Linked DNA regions of Mus musculus: regions 1, 2, 3, 4, 5 and 6 are each reported to be linked to region 7. The links are microRNA targets in miRTarBase. Many come from high-throughput screens and were not tested one by one. Region 7 holds a microRNA gene; each other region holds the end of a gene's coding sequence.
Evidence for each region. The annotated mature microRNA mmu-miR-466o-3p reads UACAUACAUGCACACAUAAGAC and lies in region 7 at 1,806-1,827, shown strand. An mRNA with a match to its seed (bases 2 to 7 or 8) in the 3' UTR can be bound and repressed. Matches are read on the target gene's strand: a 7mer-m8 pairs with bases 2 to 8, a 7mer-A1 pairs with bases 2 to 7 and ends in A, and an 8mer does both.

Region 1 (4,063 bases), not on the chromosome of region 7:
CCGTAATGGGAGAGACCCTGTCTCCAAGAAAAACAGTAGGCAGTGATGGAGTGGCAAAGGCCACAGTCTATAATAACAGGAGACAGGGCAAAGACCAAACTGTTGAGACTCCAGACGTCACAGAGCCCTCCCTTGGGACCAAGAGAATTTACAAAAGTCTTCCAAAAGACTTAAATTCTGTTTCACTTAAAAACAAAAAAACAAAACAAAGCAGTAACAACAGCAACAACCCAAACAGGCAAAAGAACACACCTCAGATTCAGTTTTACCATGTGAAGCCCCACCCTGTTCCTCACAGATTCAGTTAAAGCCTGCTGCTCCATCGGGGTACACCAGCTTATCTCTTGTCTTTAGCTCCAGTTGCCTATGGTCTAAAGGTAAGCGACCTTTTTTCATTTTTGATTTTGTTTTTAAACCCGAGAATTTGAAGATGTTTATACTCATACACTTTTAAAAGACTTGATACTGAAGAAATTAAGGGAACCTCGCCACCTGGTGGCACTAATGGTGTGTGACATTAAAGAGGCCCCTTTTGGTCTGAAAAAAAAAAAAAAAGAAAGAAAGCTTTTGCCTAGACACTTCTCAAAACAGCAGAGCTGGCCTCTGCCCTGGGATCATTGTCCCTGTGCTTGCCCAGGTGGCAGGCTCGTCTTAGTCTTCAAGTCAGATGGCTTGTTGGGCTAGAACTCAGCAAAGAAAGGACAACCCCCGCCCCCACCCCAAATTGATTTCTCTTTCAAACAGATAAGTATTCATGCCTTTTATTAAAGGGCTCACAATCGCCCAGAAAGTTCTTATTCTAGAATATTCTCTCCATTCTTGCTTCCTGCATCACAGGCTTCAGATTCTAGCAGAAGAAAGAATATTTAGGTGTGCTTGTTTAAACAAGTCATGGCATTTAATGTTGCACACGAATTAAATCTTTGAACATCTAATGATTTCTCTGGGTATGCTGCATTCTTAAATATTTAATTTATAAGTCACAGCATTTGACATTTTGGCAAAGATGTGTCCTGCAGGCTGCCTGCTAATTACTTTAAAAAACTAAAATGCACGCACAAAAAGATCTCTGAGCACCACCCCAGGATTCCGATCCTGTTGGATTGTGGTTGAATCCAGGCCTGGGCGTTATAAAATCTTTCACAGGAGATTACTATAGAATTAACAGCAGACAAAGAATGTATACGTTCAACACAAACATTAGAAATCAGACACTGGGGCTGGAGAGGTGGCTCAGTGGTTAAGAGCACCGACTGCTCTTCTGAAGTTTCTGAGTTCAAATCCCAGCAACCACATGGTGGCTCACAACCATCCGTAATGAGATCTGACGCCCTTTTCTGGTGCATCTGAAGACAGCTACAGTGTACTTAGATATAATAATGAATAAATCTTTAAAAAAACAAAAAAGAAATCAGACACCATTTCGCTTGCCAGCTTGGCAGACAAGATGAAGTGCTGTGAATTTTGCCATCAGTGATGACTTGGGGACCAGGAATTAGAAAAGCGCTCAGTTGTTTCTGCCATTTAAAACCTTAGGGCTGTGGTGCCGCTCAGTGTGGGGGTTCATGCCTACTGGGAGTAAGACCCTGGGTTTAGTTTTCAGCCCTGCCAAAGGTCAAATTCAGGTTGTCAAGATTTTTGACAAGTGCCTTTCCCTTCCATCTTGAGCTTTCAAATGTTCTCCATTATTTCTCACAGCCTTTCCGATGTGATCATTATGTCTATTATTAATTAATACATTCATTTGGTTCATGTAGACATGACATGCAAGTACTTTACTAAGGCAAGATTTTTACTATTAAGCTATGTTGTATTCTAGTGAGAGGAGGTATTCAAGTGCTTATATTCAAGTGGTAGCTGTGACTTCTATTTGCTAGTTTATAAGGGCTTGAGTCATAAAAAAATAAGAAGGGGTATCAGAAGTGACAGCTAGCCATACTCTTACATTCAAATAAGCTTTTAAAAAAATACTTTTGTGTATGGATATATTTTGTCAGAATGTATGTCTGTGTATCACATACATGCATTGCAAGCAAAGGGCAGAAAGTCAGACCCCTTGGAACTGAAGTTACAGCTGTTAACTATCACATCAGCGATGAGAATTGAACCTGGGTCCTCTGGAAGTGCTGTTTTCCTCTGAGCAATCTCTTCAGGCCCCCAATAGGCTTAAAAAATGTTTCATTAAAACACATATGGGCTCCTTTGGAGTTGTTTGGTTTTAGTTAGTTTTGTGTTACTCTAATGAAACTCCAGGCACCAACATCTTAAAAAGAACAAGTGTTCAACATCTTGGTAGGTGGAGTGGACAGACAGATGGAAGAGCCAGAGGACTGGGTGACAGTCGCAATCTGGACAAAGCAAGCATGGTGAACCTAGTTCAAACTTTATCCTGAAAGTCAGAGCAAATTCTTCACTGTTGCACATTCTAGAATATAGGGACACAAAGTAAATGCTTGCATTCAGAAAGGAAGAAATGGAGCTGGGACAGAGCTGAGGGTGGCATGGTTGTCACATGTACAAGAAGCCTGGCTCTACACAAATCAGACAGGGGGGCACATGCCTATAATCTCAGCAGATCTTGGAGGCAGGAGGTTGCACAGTTAGAGATCACTCTTGACTACATATTGGACTTGAGGCCGGCCTGGGAAACATGATAAAACTAGCAAACAAGCAAAGGAGGACTGGGGCCATATCAAGGAGGTAGGCACCAAAGACCTAGACCCACAGGCAAGACCTCCTCCAACTCTACACCTGGTACCCAGGGCCTGCAGCAGTGGCAGGATCTGAGCTCCAGCAGGGTGGGGCAGCCCTGTGGTATGGCTCTGCGGGCCTCTTTCTTGGGCTGCCCTCATTCATTGCCTGGAGATTTCATACATTCTTTGGGCAAGGTTCCACTGATGATGGGATATTATGTTATCATGTATAGAGTTATGTTTTTCACTTGAGAAAAACATAACCAGTTACCATAAAGAACAGTCACACACACACACACATACATGCACACACACACAGACACGCATATACACACAGGGGCACACCCACTCTGATTTGGTAGGTGAGATATTCTGTGATTTTTATGCTGACCTGCATTCATAGCTATCCTGGTCTGCACACAGCCTGTGAGCACTTGGCTTTACACCCCTGGACCAGATAACAAAGGTGAAAATTGTCAATTGTTGCATAAATATTTAGAAACTGGACGTCTTCTAGATCTCTGCAAACTGATACCAGGTAGATCATTGAAAGGCTACAGTGATCTCATTTTGCGGAAAGAAAGCAAGTCTCTCGATGAAACACCGAAAGTGTCTGTGGCTGGACTGTTGGCCTGTCGCTGCTGAGTTCCAGCTGCCTTTCTGTCACATCTGTCCTGAGGTTTCTACAGCCAGGCCATATCCTAACCAGTTCAGTCGCTTTCCAGGCATGCCTTCAACCTAGAAGATTACTGGGTACTTTAGGGCTGTGTTTGATCTTTACTGGTCATTTAGTTAATTAAAAAGGCTCCAAAGAAGCTGGCTTCTTGATCCAGGTCCATCAAATGTTCATTTGTCACAGAAACAAAAATCCTGTCATTTTTTTTTAGCTCGAACAATCCTCCCTGATAGATGGAGTACAGTCCGTACTCGGCATCTCTGGACCAACAGCTGTTTCTGGCGCTCTTCATGAGCACTATGGGATCCGGATAGCTGGTGTACTTGTAGATGTACTGCACCAGCTGTTTGGTTCTCACCTTGTCCTTTGAGACCATCTTGGAAGCGTCTTCAGCTTCCTGAAATCGGAAGTATGTTTGGGAATAGATGTAATACAGGCCCTCCTGCTCGATGACCAGCTCTCCATTCCTAAAGAGCACGTGGTTGAGAAATGAATGCCCTTTCCGAGAGGACTCCCAGGATTCAATCTTCTGGCCTAAGGTCTTTCCATCCTTGGAGACTACGTGGAAACAAAAGAAACAGTTAGTGGGAAGACGTTTACATCGAATGAGGAGATACCTCAACTGCTCCGCACAGTCAGTATTTTCATTGGGCTTGCACACAATGTGGTTCCAAAATCCACCTTCTTACACTTT
Region 2 (4,068 bases), not on the chromosome of region 7:
TAGAAGTGATAATATTCCCAGGAAAAAGACAGACTCCCTTTCCATTAACAAGAGAATATATCATTCTGAGCCTGAGGAGGGAGATATTCCTTATGGAGTTCCTCAGGATTCTACAAGAGCAAGTCAAGGAACATCTACATGCTTGCAAGAGTCACTTGGGGAATGTTTTTCTGAAAAAGACCCTAGGGAGCTACCAGGGTTGGAGTCTAGGCAAGAGGAGCCTATCTCTGATCCTGTCTTTCTTGGTAAGGATCATGAGGCAAACTTACCATGTGAAAGTCATCAAAAGAGATTCCGTAGAGATGCCAAACTATTCAAGTGTGAAGAATGTTCTAGGATGTTCAAACATGCCAGGAGCCTTTCGTCCCACCAGAGAACTCACCTGAATAAGAAGAGTGAATTGCTTTGTGTCACCTGTCAGAAAATGTTCAAACGAGTCTCTGACCGCCGAACCCATGAGATCATACACATGCCAGAAAAGCCTTTCAAGTGCAGCACATGTGAAAAGTCCTTCAGCCACAAGACCAACCTGAAGTCTCATGAGATGATTCACACAGGAGAAATGCCTTATGTCTGTTCCCTATGTAGCCGTCGCTTTCGCCAATCATCCACTTACCATCGTCACCTGAGGAATTACCACAGATCTGACTGAAGTATCTAACATCCTCAGCAGAGACTGGTAGGGCTTCAGCCTCAGTATGTCATCTTCAAAGAGAGAAGAATGTTGCAAGTAAATTGTACTGTCCCAATAATGATATAACATGCTTGTGGATTGCCACTTTTATGTTTTGTTTTTTATTGTGTGTGTGTGTGTATGTAATTTTTTGTCTGTAATTTCCATAGTTCCACAGCATAAGTTATTAGAATACTTTGCTGTTAATTCTTGAGTTGCTTCTTGCTTTTAGACAGTGTCTTTCTGGTTGGCAGCTTTATACACCTGTCTTTCTGGCACTAGAGTTTCCAAACATTTTCTGATCTCCACTTTTATTCTCTACAGTGGTCCTGACAGAGGCCTGCCATTCCCTCTGACATTTTTTAACATGTTGGGGTTTCATCCCAAGTCTTAGGGTTGCAAGTTAAATGCATTGCCTCTTCAGACATCTCATGTCATGTCTACTGCTTACAGTTCAAGAATATTTCTCTACATTACTAGAATGACGTTCAAAGTGGAATAATAAATAAAAAAATAATCAACAATTGCTCAGAGTAGTTTGGTGGGTCCTCCCCTACCTGTTCAATTATCATTCTCCCGACATTCTGTGTAGCTCTGGTTTCAGAGCACCTATGCACTTGGTTCAAGGAGCAGGATTTATGGATACTTGTCTCACATGATGAAAAATAGCTGACAAAAGCAAGTCTTTTTCCATGAATAACTTTCAAAAAACTAATGTTAAGAATGTGAAGTGGCATAAGAGTCATGTTGAGAAACAGGATTCTGTGCAGAGTTGAAGACAACAGGCACAGGCTAATTGAGTTGTTGGGGTCTGTGTATGTGCGCTTGCAATTCCCATGAGTTATGTAAGTTCCCATATCAGGTAGAAACATTGAGGATGCATTATGACTTTGCCACGATGTTCCTGGTGATACCTTTCAGCAGGCAATTAGAAGGCTTCAGTTTTAAAAGTACACAATGATCAGTATCCATAATCAGCTTCCAAATGCTGACACCATTTCATACACTAGCAAGATTTTGCTGAAATGACCCAGATATAGCTGTCTCTTTTGAGACTATGCTGGGGCCTAGCAAACACAGAAGTGGATGCTCACAGTCAACTAGTGGATGGATCACAGTGCTCCCAAGGGAGGAGCTAGAGAAAGGACCCAAGGAGCTAAAGGGATCTGCAACCCTATAGGTGGAACAACATTATGAAATAACCAGTACCCCGGAGCTCTTGACTCTAGCTACATATGTATTTAAAGATGGCCTAGTCGGCCATCACTGGAAAGAGAGGCTCATTGGACATGCAAACTTTATATGCCCCAGTACAGGGAAACGCCAGGGCCAAAAAAACAAAAAGAAAATGGGAATGGGTGGGTAGGGAAGTGGGGGGGAGTGTATGGGGGACTTTTGGGATAGCAATGGAAATGTAGTTGAGGAAAATATATCATAATAGATATATATTAAAAAAAGTACACAATGGCCTTAGCTGACATGAATACCAACACAAGTTATACATTTCCCCACCTAGGATTTTATTGCTGGCATTGCTTGTTCTGGACCGAGTCACCAGCATTTGGTTCTCTAACCCTTTTGATTTGCCTCGTTTTCCGGTCTTTATTTTTCTAGTGAAGTTGGATAATTTTGTTCCTCATTGTTTCAACATTAACGTTTAATGGATTTGAGTTTTTGGTTTAGTTTAGCTTTCTATATTTTGAGATTATAGCCTTTGCAGGATTTCAGAGGTTTGGATTAGCTTCAGTGCCATATTCAAATAAGGTTGCATCCTAAGGTTAGGGATTAAGCCTTGTACAGGTAAGCATCATAGGTAGAATTCAGATGATAACACTGTGCTATCCAGATATGGAGAATCCCTGCAATCCTTGTACCTGGCATCTGTCAGCAGGAACACTAGAATCCAATCATTCTCTGTTAAAAGACTCACAACATATCTTTCCTAAAAACAAAATGATAAAATAAATAAGTAGCCTACCATCATCACCACCACCTAAAACAGGAAAAACAAACAAACAAACAACACAAATACCAAAAACAAAAAAAACCAAACAAACAAACAAAAAAAAACCCTCAAAACACCATCTCACACAAACCTGAGAAAATGGTGTTACAATACCTTAATTCCAGCAGTGTATAAAGGCAGAGGCAGGTACTTAGGCCTGGGCAGGGCAGGTGCCTATACATAGGCATAGGCAGGGGCAGTGGCATATCTCTGATTCTGTGGCCAACTTTCAATAACAGGTTTCTGAACCTATGTGAGGAAACCTCATTGTGGCTAGATGACATGCTCATAAGGTTTAATGTCAGATATTTACATTACATTTCATAAAATTTGCACAATTATAGTTATCAAGTAGCAACAAACATGTCTTTGTGGTTGGGATTCATCCCAGCATGAGGAACTGCATTACAGGGGTGCAGAATTTAAAATGTTGAGAACCACTCTTCAAGAAGTTGAGAAAGAAGGGTCCAAATGGCTGAAATGTAAATAACTAAATAAAAAAATAAAATAATTAAAAAAAAAGAATAACAAGTTTTAACCAGACTGTGGTGATGAATGTCTTTAATCCCAGTAGAAGAGGGTGAGGCATGCCGATCTCTGAGCTGAGGCCAGCATTAATTAGAAAATTCCAGGACATGCAGAGCTACACATGGATACCATGTCTTTTAGGGAAGGTGAAGGTTAAGAATACCAGTTTTTAAATATGAATACTTACTTTTCTCTTTTGGAAAGATCCATGAGAGAAATCTCTTACATCAGACTCTGAATTTTTTTCCTTTTATTTACCATGATGTTATCTGAAACCTTGATAAAGAGAATGATACAGCTATTACATTTGTGATTGAGCATAACAGAGTCATTCATTCTCTACAGTTTGCTTAGTTTTATAACCCCTTCACAGCACAAACACATTTTTCTGATGAGTTGTTAGTGTCACTCCTATCTATGGGTATAGATGGAATAGTGTAAAGAGTGCTATACCACTACTAAGCATATACCCCCCCCAAAAAAAGATCAAACATATAACAAGGGCACATGCTCCACTATGTTCATAGTGGCCTTATTCATAATAGCCAGAAACTGGAAACAACTCATATGTCCCTCAACAGAAGAATGGATACAGAAATTGTGGGACATTTACACACTGGAGTACTACTCAGCTATTAAAAACAATGGCTTCATGAAATTCACAGGGAAATGGATGGAACTAGAATAAATCATCCTGAGTGTTGTAACCCAGACACAAAAGAACACACATGGTATGTACTTACTGAGAAATAGACTTTAGCCCGAGAACTCAGAATAATCACATTACAACACACATACCTTATGTAGATTAAGAAGAAAGACCAAAGTGTAGATTCTTCAATCCTACATAGAAAGGAGAACA
Region 3 (4,056 bases), not on the chromosome of region 7:
TTAGAAAAAAGAGAAAGGCTCCGTCATGATACAGAACAACGCCTATGCGGTAGCTGTTGCCAACTATGCCCCGAATCTTTCCAAAGATCCTGTCCTCTCTACCATTTCCAAAAGTGCAACGACGCCAGAACCGAACAAGAAGCCAGAGAACAAGCCAGCTGAAGCCAAGAAAACCTTCAACAGTGTCAGCAAAATCGACAGGATGTCTAGAATAGTGTTCCCAGTTCTGTTTGGTACTTTTAATTTAGTTTATTGGGCTACCTATTTAAACAGGGAGCCTGTATTAGGGGTCAGTCCATGAAACTAGACTTGGTTACTTTTGGGCTGTATAGCAATGTTATACTTGGTTTTGGTTTTGGTTTTTGCTTTGTACAGTCTGACTAATAACTGCTAATTTATGACCCACTATGTATAGTATGTATATATATATAATGGTAGAGCTTACAGTAGACCTCTAAAGGAGACCTGCATTTGCTAACTCATGGAAATACAGGCAGAAAACATCCCGTGCCAAAAGAGCCATTGCCTTTTTAACACATTTACCTAGGAACTAGTTTAAAGTGGGTTTCAGATCCCATTATTTATTTCTTAATGTTCTAATTATAATGAAAGTCGGGATCCCATGTCACACTTTGGGAAACCTTTGATTTAGATATTACATAGAAAAATATTTCTACTGTTGCCTAAGGATGATCAGAGATTAATATTGCCACTCAAATATATGAAACAGCCAAACCTCTGGCCTGGTTGCTTTAGGAGTGTTTAGAACCCCTGCTAGTGTCATTGGAAGCTTGACACACACAAGGAGAAAGCTAGAGATGTGAAACCAGTGTTTAATTACTATGTAGCATATCTATAGCCATGTACATATTACAAGCATGACAAGCTCAAATAACTATGAGTCACCATGAAAGGATGTTAATTACATTTAAATTTAATAACTATTGGAATGTCACAGTCATTCTATTTTTAGCTTCAGAGTTTATTTGAAAGTAGTAATGAACCTTTCAGCTCACTTCAATCATTGGAAACTACCTAAAATTTAGAAGAAGAAGGAGAAGAAGAAGAAGGAGGAGGAAGAGGAGGAGGAGGAGGAGGAGGATAAGAAGAAGAAGAAGAAGGAGGAGGAGGAGAAGAAGGAGGAGAAGGAGGAGAAGGAGGAGAAGGAGGAGAAGGAGGAGAGGGAGAAGAAGAAGAAGAAGAAGAAGAAGAAGAAGAAGAAGAAGAAGAAGAAGAAGAAGAAGAAGAAGAAGAAGAAGAAGAAGAAGAAGAAGAAGAAGAAGAAGAAGAAGAAGAAAAGAAGATGATGATGATGATGATATATGGACTTTCCAGGTATGTGTTGTCAGCTGAACTTTTCTGGTGCTGGAGAAAGGAAGAAAGCTGCCATCTTGGCTGAAATGGAGTGCAGTGAAGTTCACTTATATCAGATTAGAAAGCTGTGCCAAAAACTCCAAGAATGAGAATTCATAGGTGTCCCAGGTACAGAGGAGCACTTATACGATTCTCTTCTTTCCTGTTTACTGCAAATTCTGCCTTAAGGCTTCTCATCAGGGCTCAGAAGCCGCTAATTTTAAAGGAAAGGGCAGTTAGTTGGCACATTTTTCTGTCTGGAAAGCAGCTTTTTTTTTTTTTTCAGACAAGAATTAACGTAAATCTGCTTTTGTAAATTGGAACTTTCAATTTCATTGACTCGAATTTACAGCAGCTTTGTATACCAGAAGAGGTTTTGGTAAGAGTTGAACATTTTTAAACAATGACTTTAGGACACTATCAAAAGATTGTAGATTATGTCACACACACACACACACACACACACACACACACACACACACACACACACACACACACACACACACCTCACATAGCTAAATTAGAAAACATGGTTTTCAATTTTATAAAATTACTGATTGTTAATGGGTAAAAATTCATTTTTCTTTTAATATATGAAATATTATTTATGCCCCTGAAATATGCCCCTGAAATAAGCTAAAGTTAACTGTGTTTCTGTCAAAACTAAATTTACTTATGACCGATGTGTACATTAGCAGTTATTAGTTGACTTTTAAAATAAAACGCAACCTCACGATGATGTTTTTGTAGAAATTAAGTAGTCAAATCGTGGCGTTTCTTGCAGTTTTGTACAGTATTTGAGTAGAGTGCAAACCAGGTCTGTTCACAACATCAATAAAAGGAGCACCTTCTGGAAACAAACTCTCAGCAAAAAAACAAAAACAAAAACAAAAACAAAAAAAAAAAACAAAAACAACAACAACCAAAAAAAAAAAAAAAAAAAAAAAAAAAACCTCGCTGTTCTTTGCCTCATTCAGCTGCCCCGTTTTCTATTCAAGTATGATTTCACTGTGTGTTTTTGCATGATTTGTACTCATACCAGGGTCACAGCTTCATCCTACTAACAGAATTCGCTCTGAAGACAACCTTGACCTTAAAACCTTCCTCACGAAAATCAAAAGTAATCCATCAACCTTAATAAAAGTATTACACGAGCCAATAAATGTATTTTGTTAATTCCCTTTCAGTAACATCTTTATTATCCAAACGAGTTTTAGAGTGTGAATATTGCCCATCTAGTGAAATAAAATATACCCTGGTTTCTTAAACAAATCTGTACAACAAAGGCTCTTGTGAATAGGCTCAGGATGGGTACAGAAGTGTGAAGTGGTGTGACATTTGAAGGCAAATGGTAAGCTGCTCTCCATTGTGAATGTTGCCCAGACGTTAAGAACAGTTTAGGGTGGCAGAGAGAGCTCAGAGGATAACAGCACATATTTCTCTTGCAGAGGGCGTGATTTCAAGTTCCCAGCACCCACATAGTAGTTCACAATTACCTGTGATATGTGCTGTAGGAGCTCTGACACTCTCTGTAGGACTCCTTAGATCGCATTACACGTGTGTTCACATACCCCATGACCCAACTAATTGAGAAAAGAAAATACATCTTTAAAATGAGTAGCTATACTTCTGTCCCACCCTTTGAGTGTCTCATTATAGCTTACATTATTATAAATATGTACATATGTAAAAATGGTTCTAAATAGTTTTGACAGTTAGACAGAAAAGATCCATTTGTATCTTCAACAAAGTGCTGGGGTTATGTTGATGGCAGTACTTTTCAAGGTTTTTATTGATTTTTGTTTTTTTTATGGCAGACAGAGTAGAAAATTAACATTACTGTTTTCATTAATTGAAATAACATAGCTGAAAATTTTCAATTCAGTCATGAGAATAATATATGAATTTAATGACATTATGATAAGTTAGACGTCCCAATTGTGTCTTTCAGAATTTCCTATTGGGTCTTGGACTCTGGCATATTTTTATATATTATTATAAAAAACATCTGTCATATAACAGACACAGACTCCAAGCAAACATATAATTATTTTATTATAAATGCCTAATTCATATAAAGATGTCAATTAAGTTAATACTGAAAATTTATGACCTACAGACCTACTAAAAGGGGCTGTGCTTCTTTTTCTCCTACTTTCAATAACAATAAATACAGCAAAAGAGGTGAACAGAAAATATCCATTCTTTTTACTTGACAATCCTAATTTTCCAAGATATTTTCAGAGATGTATTACAAATTCAAACACATCTGGATAAGTAAACTCTTCAATAATATTTCTAAAAATGCCCTTCTATAGTTTACAATTTATTTAAAATAAACAAAACATTATTTCACTCACATTTTCTTTGGGTATTATTTTTTATCATGTCTCTGGCTGTCTGTCTATATTTCTGTCTGTCTAACATCAATCTATTATTTATCTATCTTCTATCTATCTATCTATCTATCTATCTATCTATCTATCTATCTATCTATCTATCTATCTATGTAGCTACCTACCTACCAACCTACCTTGACACACCAAGTCATCATGAGGCTAGAAGTATTATTTCCCACTGAGGCCAGACAAGGGAGCCAAGCTAGAAGAACATATCCTACATATATAGGCAATGGGTTTTCGGATATCCCCCACTCCAGTTGTTTGAGAACCACATGAAAACCAAGCTGCATATCTGCTACAT
Region 4 (4,055 bases), not on the chromosome of region 7:
GCTGGCTTACAGTTTCAGAGCTTTAGCCATCATGGTGGGAAGCATGGCAGCCTCTAGGCAGACATGGTGCTGTTAGAACTGGGAGTTCTACAGCTTGATCAGCAGGCAGCAGATCTTTTGAAACCAGAGTTACAGATTGTAGTGAGTCACCATGTGTGTGCTCATAACTGAACCCAAGCCCACCTCCACAGTGACACACTTCTTCCCACAAGGCCACACCTCCTTCAGTAAGGACACCTCCTAATAGTGCTACTCCCTGTGGCCAAGCATACAGACACATGAGTCTACGGGGGTCATTCCTATTCAAACCACCACAAAAACCTTGTCTCAAAAAACCAAGGGGAAGGGGACAAAACAAGACCTCTAAAACATAGAGTTTCTTTAACAAATGTAAAGAAATGCAGGGTTGTAAAGGCATGTGGTTGGAAGTGATAAAAACAATGAGGCAGGTTACTGTCACTGGGCCAATGGTTACAGACACACCAGAAAGTGTACTTAACAGGGACATTTATTTGGGGGTTTGTGTGTGTGTGTGTGTTCCTGGAACTCATATCATCAGGCTAGGGGCATAGTTCCTTCATCCAGCAAGCCATCTTACTGGTGTGCTTTTTTTTTTTTTGAGATAGGGTCTCATGTCTGAAGCCTGGCCTCAAACTCAATATATAGTCAAAGGTGACCGAGAACTTCTTATCCTCCTGACTCTGCCTCCCAAGTGTTGGACCTTGAGGCCTGACCTCTATCTCCCTGCCTCCCTACATATTATAAATGTAACTTAAAAAAAATTCTTAATGGTAGAGAGGTCACTTCTGGCGAAAGCTTACTGGTTCTTTCTTGAGCTAACAGTAACTGTTAAGAAAGACTGACAAAGGGAGAGATGTCTCAGCAGTCAAGAACACTGGCTGCTCTTCCAGAGGACCCAGGATCAATTTCTAGTACTCACATGGCAGCTTCTAGCTGCCTGTAACTCCAGTTTCAGAGAATCTGACACCTTCATTCAAGCATACATGCAGGCAAAACACCAGTGCACATGAAATAAAAATAAATAAATTGATTTTAAAAATAGAAAGAAAAACTAACAAGCCAGGTGGTGTTGGCATACAGCTTTGATTCCAGCACTTGGGAGGCAGAAGTAGGTGGACCTCTGAGTTTGAGGCCAGCCTGGTCTACATTCTACATAGTGAGTTCCAGGACAACTAGGGCTACACAAAGAAACCCTGCCTTGAAAAATCAATCAATCAATAAAATAAGTAAGTAATTATATTTATTTTTTTAGCACCCTGATGAAAATATACTAGTGGAGAGTATTCTCTTAGTAAGCTGGTGAGGGTTCTTATTTACCCAAAGCCCCAAATGATTCAAACACATTCACAAACTTAATGCATTGCTATGTAGGTCTCCCAGTTTGCTCAGGGTGAAATCACTTTGTTCCCAATGGTGCTGCCCCTGACACGCACAATAATAAAGGAATAACTCTAACTTTTGCTTCTCTTTGAAGGAAAAGCCACTTAATAAACAATATTCTCTCAGACACAACTATACACATACATTGTTTTTATTTTACACCACAGGGCCCAATTGTTTGGCCCTGAAACTGAAAAACAAGGCATAGAAAAACCAAGGCAGAGAAAGTACATTCTGGCATTATGGTCAAGTATCTGTTCTACCTAAAGAGAAAAGGAGTGCTAGGAACAGCAACTTCTACAGACAAATTCAAAAGACTTCCAGAGAAATCCAGAAAGTGGAACTTAAGACTCGTTTTTCAGTCTGTTCTGTTTAATTCTATGGCTTTTACATTTCAGGTCTCAGCCTGGCCTTGGTCATAGACTCCAAAAGCCATGGGTGTATTTGAGGACCCTAACCCTTATTCCTCGCCAACCTCTGGGTGCTATAGCAAACTAAAGGCTTCCCTGGACAATGTTGTCTTCGAGCCCAGGCTTGGCCTGTCTGAGTGAGGGCTGACACTGACTCCCACAGCCCCCGCTGCTCCTCAGGACTTCACACTGAGGCTCTCCTAGCACACTGTTATTTAAAATGACTATTTCTGCTCAGTCCCCTACCATCCATCCACCACACCAAAACATAAATAGATACATACACATTTGAAAAGGTTAAGTAAAATTAGCTTTTAGAGCCCAGTAAAGGGATGGCCCACTGAAGCCTGAAGAAACTTGAAGATTCTGAAACAGAAGGAAAAAAATAACACAGAAAACCAGTGCTTCCCCCAAATACTGAAGCCCAGAGGCCCTAGGAAAATTTCCTACATGTCTAGACTCAGGTGAGACTATCACATTTTTCCAAGCCAACTTTGGGAAGCCTGAAACTTTGGGATTTTGAAATTTTCCAAGCAACACCAGCCCACAGCTGGAAGAGACTCTTGCGTAATCTCATTTACAGACTTTTGCAGAAAAACTACACTCCACCCCAAATGTTCCTAGGTCTGCTGAATCCTTTCCATGTGTTCTAATTGAATTTATTCAAGATTAGTCACAAAGAACAAAAGTGTGTGCGTGCGCACATGCGTGTATCAGTCGGGCTGCAGGAAAGCAATCTGATGATGGTTGCAAATAACCAAAAGGACCAGAAAAGCAGCTCTAGCCAGACTCTCGGGAAGTCAGACTCACAGCCCTGGGTCAGGTGGGCACATACGCCCGACTGTACCCTACGCTGGTTTTTCTACATGTCTTTCACACATGTAGACAGCTGCACAGTAACTCTCCTTTAAGATGTCTGCAATGACTTCATGTCACTTCTGCCACCAGAAATAGGATGGTTCTGTAGGCATAACCTCTAGGAACTGATGCTCAGGCTGCCTTGGGGGCTATTTTTTCCTTGCTTGACTTATTTGGTAGGGGGATTTGACATGCTAAGAACATGTCATCACTGCCCTGTCCGAAGCTCCACGCTCGGCTGAGGAGAAGCAGCGCTGACGGCACACACTCCATGAAGGCAGCGGGCAGCCAGCGGCTACCTACAAACTTGCTTCCTTGACCCCAGGCTTTGGTTTTGTTGTGGGCTTTGAGGGGACAGTGGTTTGTTTTTGTTTTTTGAGACAGGGTCTCACTCTGTAATCTTGGCTAGCCTAGAACTCACCATGTAGTCTAGGCTGGCCTTGAACTAAAGATACTCCTGCTTCAGTCTCCCAAGTGCTGGGATAAAAGGCATGCACCACAACACCCTACTATGATATCAGGGTTAAAAGAAGAACAGAAATCTAATTCTACAAGGATGGAGAAAGAGAAAATGCAAACATAAAATTCCACTGCCATTTCTGTTGATTCTGTAAGGAGGAGCTGAGCTGAGTCCAGTTGCTCCTTGCAGCCGGTGTCCAAGTTCCCAGTTACAGGAAGAACAGGTTCCCACACAGCTGGATGGCTGGCTCATGATGCAAAATCTGTCCGGACAGGAAAGCTAGCTTGTGGGCATACTTGCAAGGAGCTGGAACTCGGATGGTACCAGGCCAATTCCAGTACATGTGGCATAGTTTGAAAGTCAACCTAAAGTTAAGAAGAAAATGTGTTATCACTTCTACCTCCACCTAGGGGTGGGAAGGATTTCACTCTCTTGGGGATACAACACAGCACTCCTACCAACAGACTGGGGGAGTCTGGGAAACCTACTGTTGTTTTTCAGGAATTGTTAGTTTTATAATTCTTTCTTTAGTTTGGTTTGGGGTACAGGTTCTCAACTATCTGGCTTATGCTGGCTAGTAACTCCACTAGCCCAGGTGGGCTTTGAGTTGCCAGTGATCTTCCTGCCTCAGCCTCTCAAGTGCTGGAACTGTAGGTGTGAGCCACTAGGTCTGTCCAAGAGAGAAACCATTATTTTTCATCTGGAGTTGTTTATATTTTCACATAAGCCAAAGGATGGGTAAAGTAAGTCAGCACAAGTGTGATGGTATCCAGAGGACCGAGTTTGGTTCCCAGCAACCATAAGGCAGCTCACAAGCATTTGTAACTCCAGTTCCAGGGGATCTGACACCCTTTTCTGACTTCCACAAGTACCAAACACACATGTGGTATACATATATGCATGCAGGCAAAACACCATACGTGTGT
Region 5 (4,062 bases), not on the chromosome of region 7:
GTTCTTAGCTCCCTCACTGGAACTAGAACTGGTTTGTAGAGGGAGCCACACCCCCACCTGTGCCACAGGTGTGCACTGAATAAGTAAATGAGGGTATGGATGGAGAATACTCAAGGTCAGACACTAGAAGGTTGGACACACAGAAGCACCCTGATGGTCATGGGGGGTCCCAGCTCCCTCTGCTGGGCATCCCATAACTGGTGAGAGCCCCCAGCCTTGCTGATGGGGTTCCACAAACCTCAACTTGCCTTCTGTGGCGTTTCTTGACTTGTAATCATGGGCAGCCCTTTCTGTGGTTGTTTGAATCTCATTCCTGCCGTTCTCTTGGTTCCTGCAAGCATTTGGTTCCCCTCGCTTCTCTGTGTGTTTAGTGCCCATCCCAGTACTGCAGTGTGGTAGCAGACACCCAACAAATGCTTGAGGAATGAGTCCCTACAGCTCCACCCTCAGCAACTTGCCCTTCACCATCTTTTAAACTCTTACTGACTTTAAACTACTCAGGTCCCAGCAACTCACCCAGGGGCAGGGCTGGGCGAATCCTGTACCTCTGTGTCCCTCAGTCCCACCTTTCCTTGCTCCTTAGCTTTTTCATCTTTTCCTCCCAAGACTGAGGCTGGCATCACTCCCAGGGCCTTGCTGTATTTGACTGTTACAAACCAAGTACTATTCACTTCTGACGGCTTCTATATTTCCTTCAAGTTTCACATTAATAAATAATAGCAACAATAAAAAGGAGCTAACATTTCTTAGCACGTACCATCATACAGATGTTACATTTATTAATACGATTGGGCATTTGTAACATTTTCATGGGATAGAAAGATTCATATACTTCTTACAGATGATGGACGGCTCTGATGTCAACCTGCCTAGGTCACGTTGTGTGTGTCTGTGTGTGTGTGTCTGTGTGTGTGTGTGGGGGGGGGAGGAAGAGGGAAAGAGAAGAGAGAGAAGAGAGAGAGAGAGAGAGAGAGAGAGAGAGAGAGAGAGAGAGAGAGAGAGAGGATGTTTTTTGCTCCACACCCGGCCTGGGCTCTGTGTAGGCTGCGCTTCCTACTACACTACACTACCCCAGGTCTTACTCAGCACCTGGCCTCAGCAGGAAAGGGCCTGCCTCTCCCCTCTTCCCCACTGGCTTCTCTTTTAAATCATTGACTGGGGAGAGCTAATCTGCCCCAGAGTGTGTAATTAACGGAAGACTAGACAGACTGAGAACTCCATCCCCCCCTACTCCTTATCTGCCTGTAGGGAAGCTGGACCCCTCCTGGGGTGCTCTCTCTTCCTCTGCCAAGACCCTGCTTCCCTCACTACTTTGTTCTGAGGTTCTAGGGTCTGAATACATCCCAGCTCTCTAGACAAAATACCAGTTGGCTCTATCAGCTGGCAGGAATGCAGTGACTCTTGCAGGCCCCTCCCCTCATTATTTCTGAGTCCTGGGAAACCCTGCAGGTACCCAGGCTAAGAGGGGGGCTAGGGTGGACAGACTGAGGGCATGAAAACGGGTAATGTAAGTGGTGTGTGGATAATGGAATAGGCTTAGAGTACGTGCATGTACTCTGGCTGACAGTGGCAGGAGACTGTGGGAAGACAGGGGAAGACATTCATACCCCCATAAAGAAAGAAATCATGCAGGCTTCAGTGGGCTGGACGGAGCTGGAAGAGCACTTGAGCACCTCTAGCCTTAGGCTCCAGTCCACCCTGCAGATCCTGGCCTCGCTCTGAGTGGATCTCCACAGTCAGCATTGTGTGGGGTGGGACAATGGAAAAATTACCCAGGAGACAGGAGCCACAGACCTCTCACTGATCCAGAGGGCCACCCTCCCAAGAGTAGGAAGCAGGCTTGGGACCTGTGAACTCTCAGCAAGGGAATGGCAACCATGCCCACATCCCTTCTCCTGTACCCCTATGCCCACACCACTGACGACAGCACTGGAAGATGACTGGGGAGCTCCTGCCCACCCCCTCCCTGGAGCATGGGGGCTACTGAGGATCCACGTTGTGGGTGCACCCCCCTCACGGTGAGTATGTACTGCAGGACTCTGGGCACCGAATGCAAGGGGTAGAGAGGCAGTCTTGAGAACCTGTCTGCCAGGGGTTGGTGAAGGGACCCAGGAGGAGCCAGAAACACCAGACTGAGGTGGCCACACTTGACAACCCTTGTACATGCCCATGTTACTAGGCCTTCCTGGTCCCTCCCAGTGAAGGGCACTCTAAGTTAGGATTCACAGATATTTCAGAAAGCTCTTCTAGGCAGCACCTATGGTTACTCTGGGAGGACTGCATCTGTTATACCCTGCCCGCTTCTGTTTGTTGGTCCAAAGGGACCTGCATCTCTCCCTGTGAGGGTGTCCTCCCCTGCACTCTCACCCTGCCACCACTGGTTAAAACAGACCCAGGGTGCATACACTCACTTCCTCCAGCCCATTCCATTACCCAGGATCATGGATGTCCCTTTTCATTTCCATATCCTGACACGCACAAGTCTTCCTTTGACTCCAGAGACTTCAGACCTCTTCCGGACTCTTGATATGCATCTCCCAAGCCTCTCCAGGCTGTCTATAGACAGGGGTTTCCAGCCTCTGGCTCTAGTGCTGGATGGGAACTGTGGCCAACTTACTAAACATCTCCCTCTTCTCCTGGCTGGGTTACTGAGTTGAAATAAGATGTGGATGTAAAATTGGCTTTGGCTCCAAGACTGGGTGCACTCAGTGCTTAGTGAAGGAAGAGGAGCCATACTGAGACCCTGGGGAGTGATTAACCCTCTAGCTCTCCCTCAGGGACTCTACAGAACACCACGCAGACTCCAGAGCCTGTCCCCCAGCCCCAGAAACAAGGAACTTCTGAGAACTCTATTAGATGCTCAAAGCAATGGGGCTGAACTACAGGAGAAATCGGGCCTGGATAGCCTCGCTGTAGTTTCCCACTGACCCCCAGGAAGTTGTGAAGGTCTAGCAGCCCCCTAGTTCCCTCACTGACATGAGGAAATCAAGGAAACCTGCTTTGGGAGGAAGAACGAGCAGGGGCAAGAGTCATCTTATTGCCTTTATTTTGCTGTCTGCCCAGCTGGCCCCACTACAGGGCACAGGGCCAAGCTTGTACACACTCATGCTCTCTGTGCAGGCAAGCATGTGCACAACACACACATACATACCCCCACCCCCGTCTTTCACACACACACACACACACACACACACACACACACACACACACACACAGTCTCTGGCTCTCTGAGTCAGTCTCTGGGAGGCACAGGCTGCTTCTCAGCCTGCTCCTGCCTGCCCTTTTATGACAGCACCAAGGGTAGGCAGGGCCCTCAGCCCCCATCAAGTCCCTGTGCAAACTGGAGGTACCAGCTGGCTTCAGGATGGGGCACCATATCTCCCCATCCCCAGAGTCTCCTCCTCCACTTCCTGGGGGAGGGAGTACTCTCTGCTTACCTGGTGGGGTCAGACCCCTGCCAGGGCTGGGGCCTGAAGAACCCAGGCTTATCCCCACCTGACCCTACCAGGACGTCCATTACTGAAGCGCAGCCCAATCTGAGTTGTGAAGACTCCCCACTGGAGAGCAGGCAGGCCTGGGCCCCAAGGCATCTGGGGAGGGGACATCACCCCCTCTTCTAATCCATCTTCAATATGAAGAGGTTTGGGGCACACTTCCTGGGAGGGAGCACAGGCCTGGAGAAGTCACAGCTAGGGTCCTCCCCCAAACTTCCATCTTCTGGGCCACAGCCAGAGGCCAGGCATCCAAAAGTCCAGCTGGCTGGTCAGAATCCTTGTGCAGTCCTGGGGGGGCACCCCCCCCTCGTTGGAGCTGAGTGTCAGACCTGCACAGGCAGGGTCTGGTTCATCTGCAGCCGCATGTCCTGGATACTGCAGAGGATCTTCTTCTGGTGCCCAGCCAAAGTGACCCCAATCCTTAGCAGATCTCTAGAGACAGAAAAAAATGGTACTCAGTCCCTCCCTTCTACCCGCGACGCTGGGCTCAGCCAGAGTTCCTGCCCAGAGCCTGCACCTTGAGCGGTACACTTACTCTGCAGTCATCTGGGCCACCAGGTCAAAGGAT
Region 6 (4,059 bases), not on the chromosome of region 7:
GCCTCATCCCTGCTGTCCACCTGGGTGATGGCGTCTTCCTTGTGGCACCACCACCACCACCCTCGCCTAGCGGGGCCCTGTCAGAGCTCCCGGGTGGCCTGCGCGCCGAGGCTCTGTGGGGTGTGAACACAGCACGTCAGGAGCAGAAACTGCTGGGCTGGCTTCAGGAACGGGCGCCTCCAGGTGCCTGCTATCTCAAGTGCCTGCAGCTGCTTAAGGCTCTTCGAGACTTGGGTGCCCGCGGGCTGGACCCGATGGCTGCTACACACTGGGGACGTATCCTGTCCTCTTACGTGCTCAAAACGGCGGTGCTGGAGGTGCTTCTGAACGAGGGCAGCCCAACGCCCAGCTGGGACGAGGCACACCTGAGTGAGTGCTTGGAGAAGTTGGTGAAGTTCCTTAGGGACTGCCTGCTGAGACGCCGAGATCTCTTCCATTGTGTCCTAGGTCCGACTGGGGCGGCTGCCGAGGTTGGCCCCCTGCCCAAGGTGCTGCGGGAGGCCGCTCCTGTTGACCTCCTGGCGCCTTTCGACCCGCACTCCCGGGAGCTTGCAGCAGCGCGGTTGCTGTCCACGTGGCGAAGGTTGCCCCAGCTTCTCCGAGTCTACGGTGGTCCCCGCTACCTTGCCAGGTGTCCAGCACCCCGGAGTCAACGCATCCAGGGCTCCCCTGAAGATGAACCATGAACCCTGATTACACTCCACCTGACCAAATGCCCCTTTCCCATGAGATGAGAGAGCGGATGGCAGCTAAATTCAAGAAGAGCTGTTCAAGGTGTGGGAAAATTTGAAGGATGTCACAGGATTTGATGGCACAAATGTTCTGTCCTAGGCTCTATGGCCTAAGATATCAGTGGCATCTTCTGCAGACCTATTAGAGTATCTTGGGTGGTCTCATACACAGATGTCTCTGACCCCGAATTATTAGAAGCAATCACCTTTGATATACTTATTTGGTAAATACTAGGTTCCCAATTGATCCCTAGTTTTGGAGGGGTGTTGTATGTATGTTTCAATGCTGGGGCTAGAATCCTAGATCCCTATGCTAGGTGGGCCCTCTACCACAAAGCTACATCCTGGGCTCCCAGTTTTTTGTTTGTTAGTTTTTGTTTTGTTTTTAAAGAATAATTATCCACAACTGGAATTGAAATTCTAGTCCAGCTGTTAGCATTCCAGAGTCCTGATTTAGCTATTTCCATGAGCATGCATGTATTTTTTAGTGGTGCAATCACAGGTTTGTTGAATAAGATTAATGGAGTTGTTATAAATTAAGTGACCAATGCTAAGAGGTGGCCAAGAGCTGGTCAGAGACTTTCAGAGCAAGTGGCACTTTATGTCTAGTCATTTTCTTGTTCTGTGTTTGTTGGAACCAAGGGCTATTCAAAAGAGCTTCCACACAGTTATCTGAAAGACCAGGGCTCTGAAAAGCAGCCAGCCAGCCACCATCAGCACTCCTCCAGGTCATAGGTGGGGATTTGCACTTGACACTCAATACCTGTTCATTTGAGCCAGGCAGAATGCAGAGGGAAAGATCCTTGATTAAGACAGGTCTGGCAAAAGTGTAGAACATAAGTCTTTTAGAAGCTCCTGCCTAGGGCTCATCGTAGGCTGGATACAACCCACTTAGGTCTCAGAGCCTCTGAGCAAAGGCCCCGTAGGCTTGTCTCAGAGCATAAGGACCTCTGAGGAGAAAATGCTTGGTGTGCTGCCTGGGAATGGGGTAGGGTCCAGTGATGTCTGATATCGGGGTAGTGGCTGGGAGGTTCTTGATTGCCTAAGCAGCCTTACATCGTATTGAAGGCCAGTCAATTCTTGCTTCTGCTTATGACTTGTAAAATAGTAGCATGAGGTGTGTGCTTGGAGACCTGTCAGTCTCCAGCAGTGGGCAGAAGAGATAGGCGACAGGAGCAGAGGGAGAAAAGAGGGAGCTGGCTTACAGTCTTTGCCCTTCTCAGTTCTGAACTTCCCTGGCCTGGGCGCCCCTTGCTGTTGGGAGGATCCCATCCTCGAGTGCCTCCTATCCTCCTGCCTTCCAGACAACTTCCAATAGCAGTTCAAGTTTAGAAAGCTTCGTCTTCCTCTCTCCTCGTGGGAAGTGTGGCCAGTCTCAGTAATACACTTAGGGATTTTTTTTTTTTAACAACAAAGATCTGAGCTCCCTTAGACTCCTTAAAGTGAAAGTTGGAAGATAAAAATAGTCACATGAATGGGGTCATTGTTTCATTTCTTAGCTATGTGGAGGGAACTCTGCAAACTCTCTTTGGGGCACCCGGTTGGCAATCGAGGGGAATAGAGTGTAGGGACTTCTCATTTGTCCTTTGCAACTCTGACTGAAAGAGAGTTGTTTTGGAGGCCATCCCTCTTGATACCCCAGAGATCATTCTTCGTTTTTTTGAGGCCAATATTTGGTTATAAGGTACGGCATTGGATGAAAGGGTTGTTCTGTCAGCCTCTTGCAAAGATTGAAACTGCACAGTCGGTTTGATTTTAATTACTTTAAAAAGCCAATGCCAAGGGAAGATTGTGCATGTGTGTGTGTGTGCATGTGTATGTGTGTGTATGTCTGTGTGTTTGTGTGTTTCTCTGTGTGTATCTGTATCTGTGTGTGTGTATGTGTCTGTGTGTATAATGCACACATGATTTCTACATTCAGCCTGTTGCTGCCTCTGTAGTCATTAAGTTAGAACAGGGGAGAGGCAAATTTCCAGCTATTTCTAGCTTAGCTAGAAATTTCTAGCTAAGGAATCCCTTTTTTAAAAAGTCTTGATAATATTTTAAAGTATAAATCTGGTTAGGATCATAAATATGAATAGCTTATATAAACGTATCTTTCTTGTAGGGTTTTTTCTTTTTTTGTATTAATTACCCAAAGCTTCATCCATCCTCAAACTTTTAAAGTTTATTATTATTATTAAATTAATGGGCATTGTGTTTGTAAATTTTTTAAAAAATATTAATGTTTTATTTAAATGCCATGCTGAACAGTTGTTCTTGCCATGTGGCAACAAAAACAAGAGATTTCGATCAATTTTGATCAATATTTAGTGATCTGAAACATGTACTATGTACAGATGCAATAATACGGCTTTGAACTGAGTCCAGTGGCTGCCCAAGGCCTTTCAATTCAGCTCAGTTCTGCATTTCATATGGCTACTGTCATGGCCTCTATCTGACATGCACACACCTTTGGTGTATATTTGGTGCTGGAGAGTCATATATGCCAATATTCTCAGATACGATGGCTCTACCAAAAAATAAAAAGAGTTGTTTAGCCAGTGCCCAAAGAAAATCGTTTTTTTGAGGAAGATGACTCAGCTCTTTTGCGTCCAGACACCTCAGTAATTCCCACTGCCCAGCTCGGAGCCTTCCTGGAATGCTCATGGGCTGGGAGAATATGCGTTTTGCAAATGAAGGAGAGGACAGTGTGAATGGATGCAAATATTCTCTGAGGATTTGTGGGGAGGAGGTCTTAAGGTGTATGTGAAAGGAAGAGTTGGGAGGGAGAAGGGTGAAGACACCTCAAGGGTGGGAGAGAGTTTTGGGTGAGGAAATGTGTTTTTAAGTATGTGCTAGTTCAGGTCAGGAGTTACAAACTTAGCAGCCTAAAGGCAGGGAGATAAATAAGAGGGTGGAGGGTGTGGGGACTGTGCCTACCTTAAAGGAGGCAGCTCACCTCAGCTCCAGACTGGAAAATAAAGGGCTGGGCCAACAATCGGCATTTCAAATTAAAATACTAACGCTCACTGGTTTTTAATTTAAGAAGTAATTTAAAAAGTCTGAAACCACCAAGTGAGCCAGATATCTGGTTGAACCTGAGGCCAGCAGTTTGCGACCCCTTGCCTTACACAGTTAGCCTTCTCCCAGGTATGTATAGGCTTATATTCTTTGCCATAGAGACAGTGGTTAAATATATATAAGTGTGGGGGGGGGTGTTAGTTCATTTCTACTTTATCTCTCAGAGTTAAGCTTTGTTATAGGAATAACAGCAGAAAAAAACAAACAAACAAACAAAAAAAACAAAATACAGCCACAGATAACATTTATCCCAGTTCCTGGTAGG
Region 7 (4,068 bases):
AGATCAGTATGCAATTGATGTGATGCACACCAAGAATGTGCATGTGTTAGAGTTGTGTGCATATTCACTTCTCTATATGAATATGCATATACACACATGCACACACAGTAATGCCACTCATATATCCTTTGAAATGATATGTGCCATAGAGCTTTAGCGCTTATGCGGTAGTGATCCAGAGCTATGTCTCAGTTAGGAGGTGAAACGCTTGCCAGAGTCTGGAGGATCTGGAGTTCAAATTCATGTTTAACTTCATGATGAGTTAGAGTTCATCATGCGATTCATGTGATGCCCAACAAGAATGTGCATGTGTGTATAGCTGTGTGCATATTCACTTCTCTATATGAATATGCACATACACGCAAGCACACACAGGAATGGCACTCATATATCCTTTTGAATGGTATGTGACTTAGAACTTTAGAGCTTATGCAGTACTGATCAAGAGCTATGTCTCAGTTAGGAGGTTAAGTACTCTTGCCAGAGTCAGGAGGATGAGGAGTTCAAATTCATATTAAATTCATGATGAGGTAGCAATCAGTCTGGGATTCATGTGATGTCCCCCGTTTATGTGCATGTGTGCAGAAGTGTATGCATGTACATGTGTTTATGTGAATATACATATACATACACACATATACACACACATGCAAACATACATGTAGGAATGGTACTCATCGATGCATTTTAATGATATGTGACTTAGACCTTTGGAGATTATGTATGACAGGGCCAGTGTCAATTCTCACACACCTGGTGAAAACCCTTGTTAGAGTCAGGAGGTATAGGAGTTGAAAATCATGCTTAACTTCATGAGGAGTAAGAGATCATCCTGGATTCATGTGATGCCCCCTATATATGTGCATGTGTGTATACTTGTGTGTGCATGTATATGTGTCTATATGAATATACATATACATACACACCCATATACACACGCATGCACGGAAACACAAAAACATAAACATAAACACAGGAATGGCACTCATTGATCCATTTGAATGATATGTGACTTAGAGTCTTATAGATTATGCAGTAGTGTGTCAATGAACGGTCTCACTCACCAGGTGAAAGTTGTTGACAGAGTCAGGAGGATCAGGAGTTCATATTCATGCTCAATTTCAGTTAGTGATCATCCAGACATTCATGTTATGCCCCTCATGTATGTGCATGTGTGTTTACGTGTGTGTGCATGTGCATGTGTGTATATGAATATATGTATACATACACACACACATACACACGCACGCAACACACACACACACACACACACACGACACTCATTTATTCATTTGAATGATATGTGACTTAGAGTTTTAGAGATTATGTAGTACTGGGCCAGTGAGTGCTCTCACTCACAAGGTGGAAATCTTGCCAGAGTCAGGAGGATCAGGAGTCGAAATTCATTCTCAACTTCATGTTGAGTCCGGGATCAGCTTCTGATTCATGTGATGCCCCCAGTGTATGTGCCTGTGTGTATATGTATGTGTGCATGTGCATGTGTGTATATGAGTATACATATACATACGCACATACCCATACAAGCATGCACACAAACCCAAAACTGCCACTCATCGATCTATTTGAATGATATGTGTCTTAGAGTCTTAGAGATTCTGTATGACTGGGCCAGGGAGAGGATTCACTCACCAAGTAAAGACCCTTGCCAGAGTCAAGATAATCAGGAGTTCAAGGTCATGGTAAAGGCATGATGAGTTAGAGGTCATCCTGGCATTCATGTGATTGCCCCTATGTATGTGTGTATGTGTTGATGTGTGTGTACATGTACATGTGTGAATATGATATACATACATGCACACATAAGACACATATGAGCACATAGACACACAGGAATGGCACTCACTCATCAATCTATGTGACTGAGAGCTTTGGAGATTATGTGTGACTAGGTCAGGGAGAGTTATCACCCATCATATTAAAAATGCTTGTTAGAATCAGGAGGTCAGGAGGTCAAATTCATGCTTTATTTCATGATGACTTAGAAATCTGCCTGGGATTCATGTGATGCCCCCATGTATGTGTACATGCGTGTACCTGTGTGTGGATTGTGTATATGAATATACATATCTACACACGCATAGACATGTACACAGACACACAAACATGAATGCAACTCATCGATCCATTTGAATGACGTGTGACTAAGAGTTTTAAGATTCTGCAGTACTGAATAGGGAGAGGTCTCACTCAGCAGGTGAAATCCCTTGCCAGAGTCAGGTGGTCCTGGAGTACAAATTCATGTTTAACTTCATGATGAGTTAGAGTTCAGCATGCGACTCATGTGATGTCCATCAAGAATGTGCATGTGTGTATAGTTGTGTGCATATTCACTTCTCTATATGAATATGCATATACACGCATGCACGCACAGGAATGCCACTCATATATCCTTTTGAATGGTATGTGACTTAGAGCTTTAGAGCTTATGCAGTACTGGGCCAGAGCTATGGCTCAGTTAGGAGGTGAGTACTCTTGCCAGAGTCAGGAGGATGAGGAGTTCAAAATCATATTTAATTCATGATGAGTAGAGATCAGCATGCGATTCATGTGATGCCCTCCAAGAATGTGCATGTGTGTATAGCTGTGTGCATATTCACTTCTCTACATGAATATGCACATAGCTGTATGCACACATACTCACAGGAATGGCCAGAACTATGTCTCAGTTAGGAGGTGAATATTGTTGCCAGAGGGAGGAGAATATGGAGTTCAAATTCATGTTTAACTTCATGATGAGTTAGAGAACAGCCTGGAATTTCTGTGATTGTCCCCGTGTATGTGTATATGTGTATAGGTACGTGTGCATGTAAATGTGGGTATATGAACATGCATATATATATATATATATATATGTGTATATATATATATATATATACATACATACATACACATATACACACACATATGGACACATACATGTGCACACAAACACACATGGTAGTCATCCATTTGATTTATGCATGCTTAGAGTTTCATTGAGTGTATATTCATGGGATAGCAAAACATCTCACTTACCAGATGAAAACTGCTTGCCAGAGTTAGGAGTCTCAGGAGTGCAAATTCATGCTTAACTTCATGAGCAGTTAGAGATCATCCTGGAATAATGTGATGGCCCCTATGCATGTGCCTTTGTGCATAAGTGCGTGCATGTATATGTGTGTATATTTTATGCATATACATACACACACCTATACACACATGCACACAGACATGCGAGAATGGCCCTCACGGATCCATTTGAATGATATGTGACCTACTGCTTTGGAGGTTATGTATGACTGGGCCAGGGTGAGGTCTCACAAACCACGGGAAAACCCTTGGTAGAGTCGGGAAGATCAGGAGTGCAAGTTCATGGTAAAGGCATGATGAGTTAGAGGTCATCCTGGCATTCATGTGATTGCCCCTATGAATGTGTGTATGTGTTGATGTGTGTGTACATGTACATGTGTGAATATGATATACATATACATACACGCACACATAAGACACATATGAGCACACAGACACATGGGAATGGCACTCATCAATCCATTTGAGTGATAAGTGACTTAGAGTGAAAATGCTTGCTAGAGTTAAGAGTATCAGGAGTTCAAATTCATACTTATCCTCATGAGAGATCAGCCTGTGATTCCTCCATGTATGTGCATGTGTGTATAGTTGTGTGTGCATGTTCATGTCTATATTTGAATATACATAACATACACACACATGTATAAACGCAAGCACACATACACAGACACAGGAATGGCATTCGCCAATCCCTTTGAATGATAAGTGATGTAGAGTTTTAGAGATTATGCAATAGGGGACATTGAATGGACTCACTCACCAGGTGTAAAAGATTGACAAAGTCAGGAGGATAAGGATTGCAACTTCATGCTTAACTTCATTTGGAGATTATCTTGGTATTCATGTGATGCCACCCATGTATGTGCATGTGTGCTTACTTGTATGTGCATTGCATGTGTTGACATGAATATACATAACAAAAACACACGTGTATATGCAAGCACATACACACAGGAAAAATTGCATTCATTTATACAT

Region 1: the mRNA of Tnfsf10 is a reported target of mmu-miR-466o-3p. Seed matches in the 3' UTR shown: 7mer-m8 at 2,991-2,997 and 7mer-m8 at 2,016-2,022.
Region 2: the mRNA of Zscan4d is a reported target of mmu-miR-466o-3p. Seed matches in the 3' UTR shown: 8mer at 812-819.
Region 3: miRTarBase lists Gabra2 as a target of mmu-miR-466o-3p. Seed matches in the 3' UTR shown: 7mer-A1 at 415-421.
Region 4: the mRNA of Piwil2 is a reported target of mmu-miR-466o-3p. Seed matches in the 3' UTR shown: 8mer at 2,089-2,096 and 7mer-m8 at 1,540-1,546.
Region 5: the mRNA of Ephb3 is a reported target of mmu-miR-466o-3p. Seed matches in the 3' UTR shown: 7mer-A1 at 3,145-3,151 and 7mer-m8 at 3,142-3,148.
Region 6: miRTarBase lists Itpripl2 as a target of mmu-miR-466o-3p. Seed matches in the 3' UTR shown: 8mer at 1,000-1,007, 7mer-m8 at 1,004-1,010, 7mer-m8 at 2,546-2,552, 7mer-m8 at 2,556-2,562, 7mer-m8 at 2,608-2,614, 7mer-m8 at 3,475-3,481 and 1 more.

Annotation. Positions count from the first base shown.
Region 1 is chr3:27,335,086-27,339,148 of GRCm38, reverse strand. Tnfsf10 (tumor necrosis factor (ligand) superfamily, member 10) reads right to left here. Exons shown (of 5, transcript NM_009425.2): 5 at 1-3,927. The coding sequence ends at 3,482. Among named protein-coding and RNA genes, the nearest start is that of Tnfsf10, 20 kb to the right of the region's middle.
Region 2 is chr7:11,158,505-11,162,572 of GRCm38, reverse strand. It overlaps Zscan4d (zinc finger and SCAN domain containing 4D), which reads left to right. Exons shown (of 4, transcript NM_001100186.1): 4 at 1-930. The coding sequence ends at 652. Among named protein-coding and RNA genes, the nearest start is that of Zscan4d, 5.6 kb to the left of the region's middle.
Region 3 is chr5:70,958,047-70,962,102 of GRCm38, reverse strand. It overlaps Gabra2 (gamma-aminobutyric acid (GABA) A receptor, subunit alpha 2), which reads left to right. Exons shown (of 10, transcript NM_008066.4): 10 at 5-3,711. The coding sequence ends at 301. Among named protein-coding and RNA genes, the nearest start is that of Gabrg1, 120 kb to the right of the region's middle.
Region 4 is chr14:70,370,943-70,374,997 of GRCm38, forward strand. Piwil2 (piwi-like RNA-mediated gene silencing 2) reads right to left here. Exons shown (of 23, transcript NM_021308.2): 23 at 1,535-3,494. The coding sequence ends at 3,338. Among named protein-coding and RNA genes, the nearest start is that of Slc39a14, 22 kb to the left of the region's middle.
Region 5 is chr16:21,222,272-21,226,333 of GRCm38, reverse strand. Ephb3 (Eph receptor B3) reads right to left here. Exons shown (of 16, transcript NM_010143.1): 15 at 4,030-4,062; 16 at 3,030-3,926. The coding sequence ends at 3,818. Among named protein-coding and RNA genes, the nearest start is that of Ephb3, 20 kb to the right of the region's middle.
Region 6 is chr7:118,486,354-118,490,412 of GRCm38, reverse strand. It overlaps Itpripl2 (inositol 1,4,5-triphosphate receptor interacting protein-like 2), which reads left to right. Exons shown (of 1, transcript NM_001033380.3): 1 at 1-4,059. The coding sequence ends at 686. Among named protein-coding and RNA genes, the nearest start is that of Itpripl2, 3.6 kb to the left of the region's middle.
Region 7 is chr2:10,470,784-10,474,851 of GRCm38, forward strand. It overlaps Mir466o (microRNA 466o), which reads left to right and starts at 1,757; the gene lies at 1,757-1,840. All of the region lies in intron 10 of Sfmbt2 (Scm-like with four mbt domains 2), which reads left to right. It overlaps Mir669d-2 (microRNA 669d-2), which reads left to right and starts at 861; the gene lies at 861-946. It overlaps Mir466f-3 (microRNA 466f-3), which reads left to right and starts at 1,170; the gene lies at 1,170-1,263. It also overlaps Mir297a-2, Mir467c, Mir466b-1 and Mir669a-3.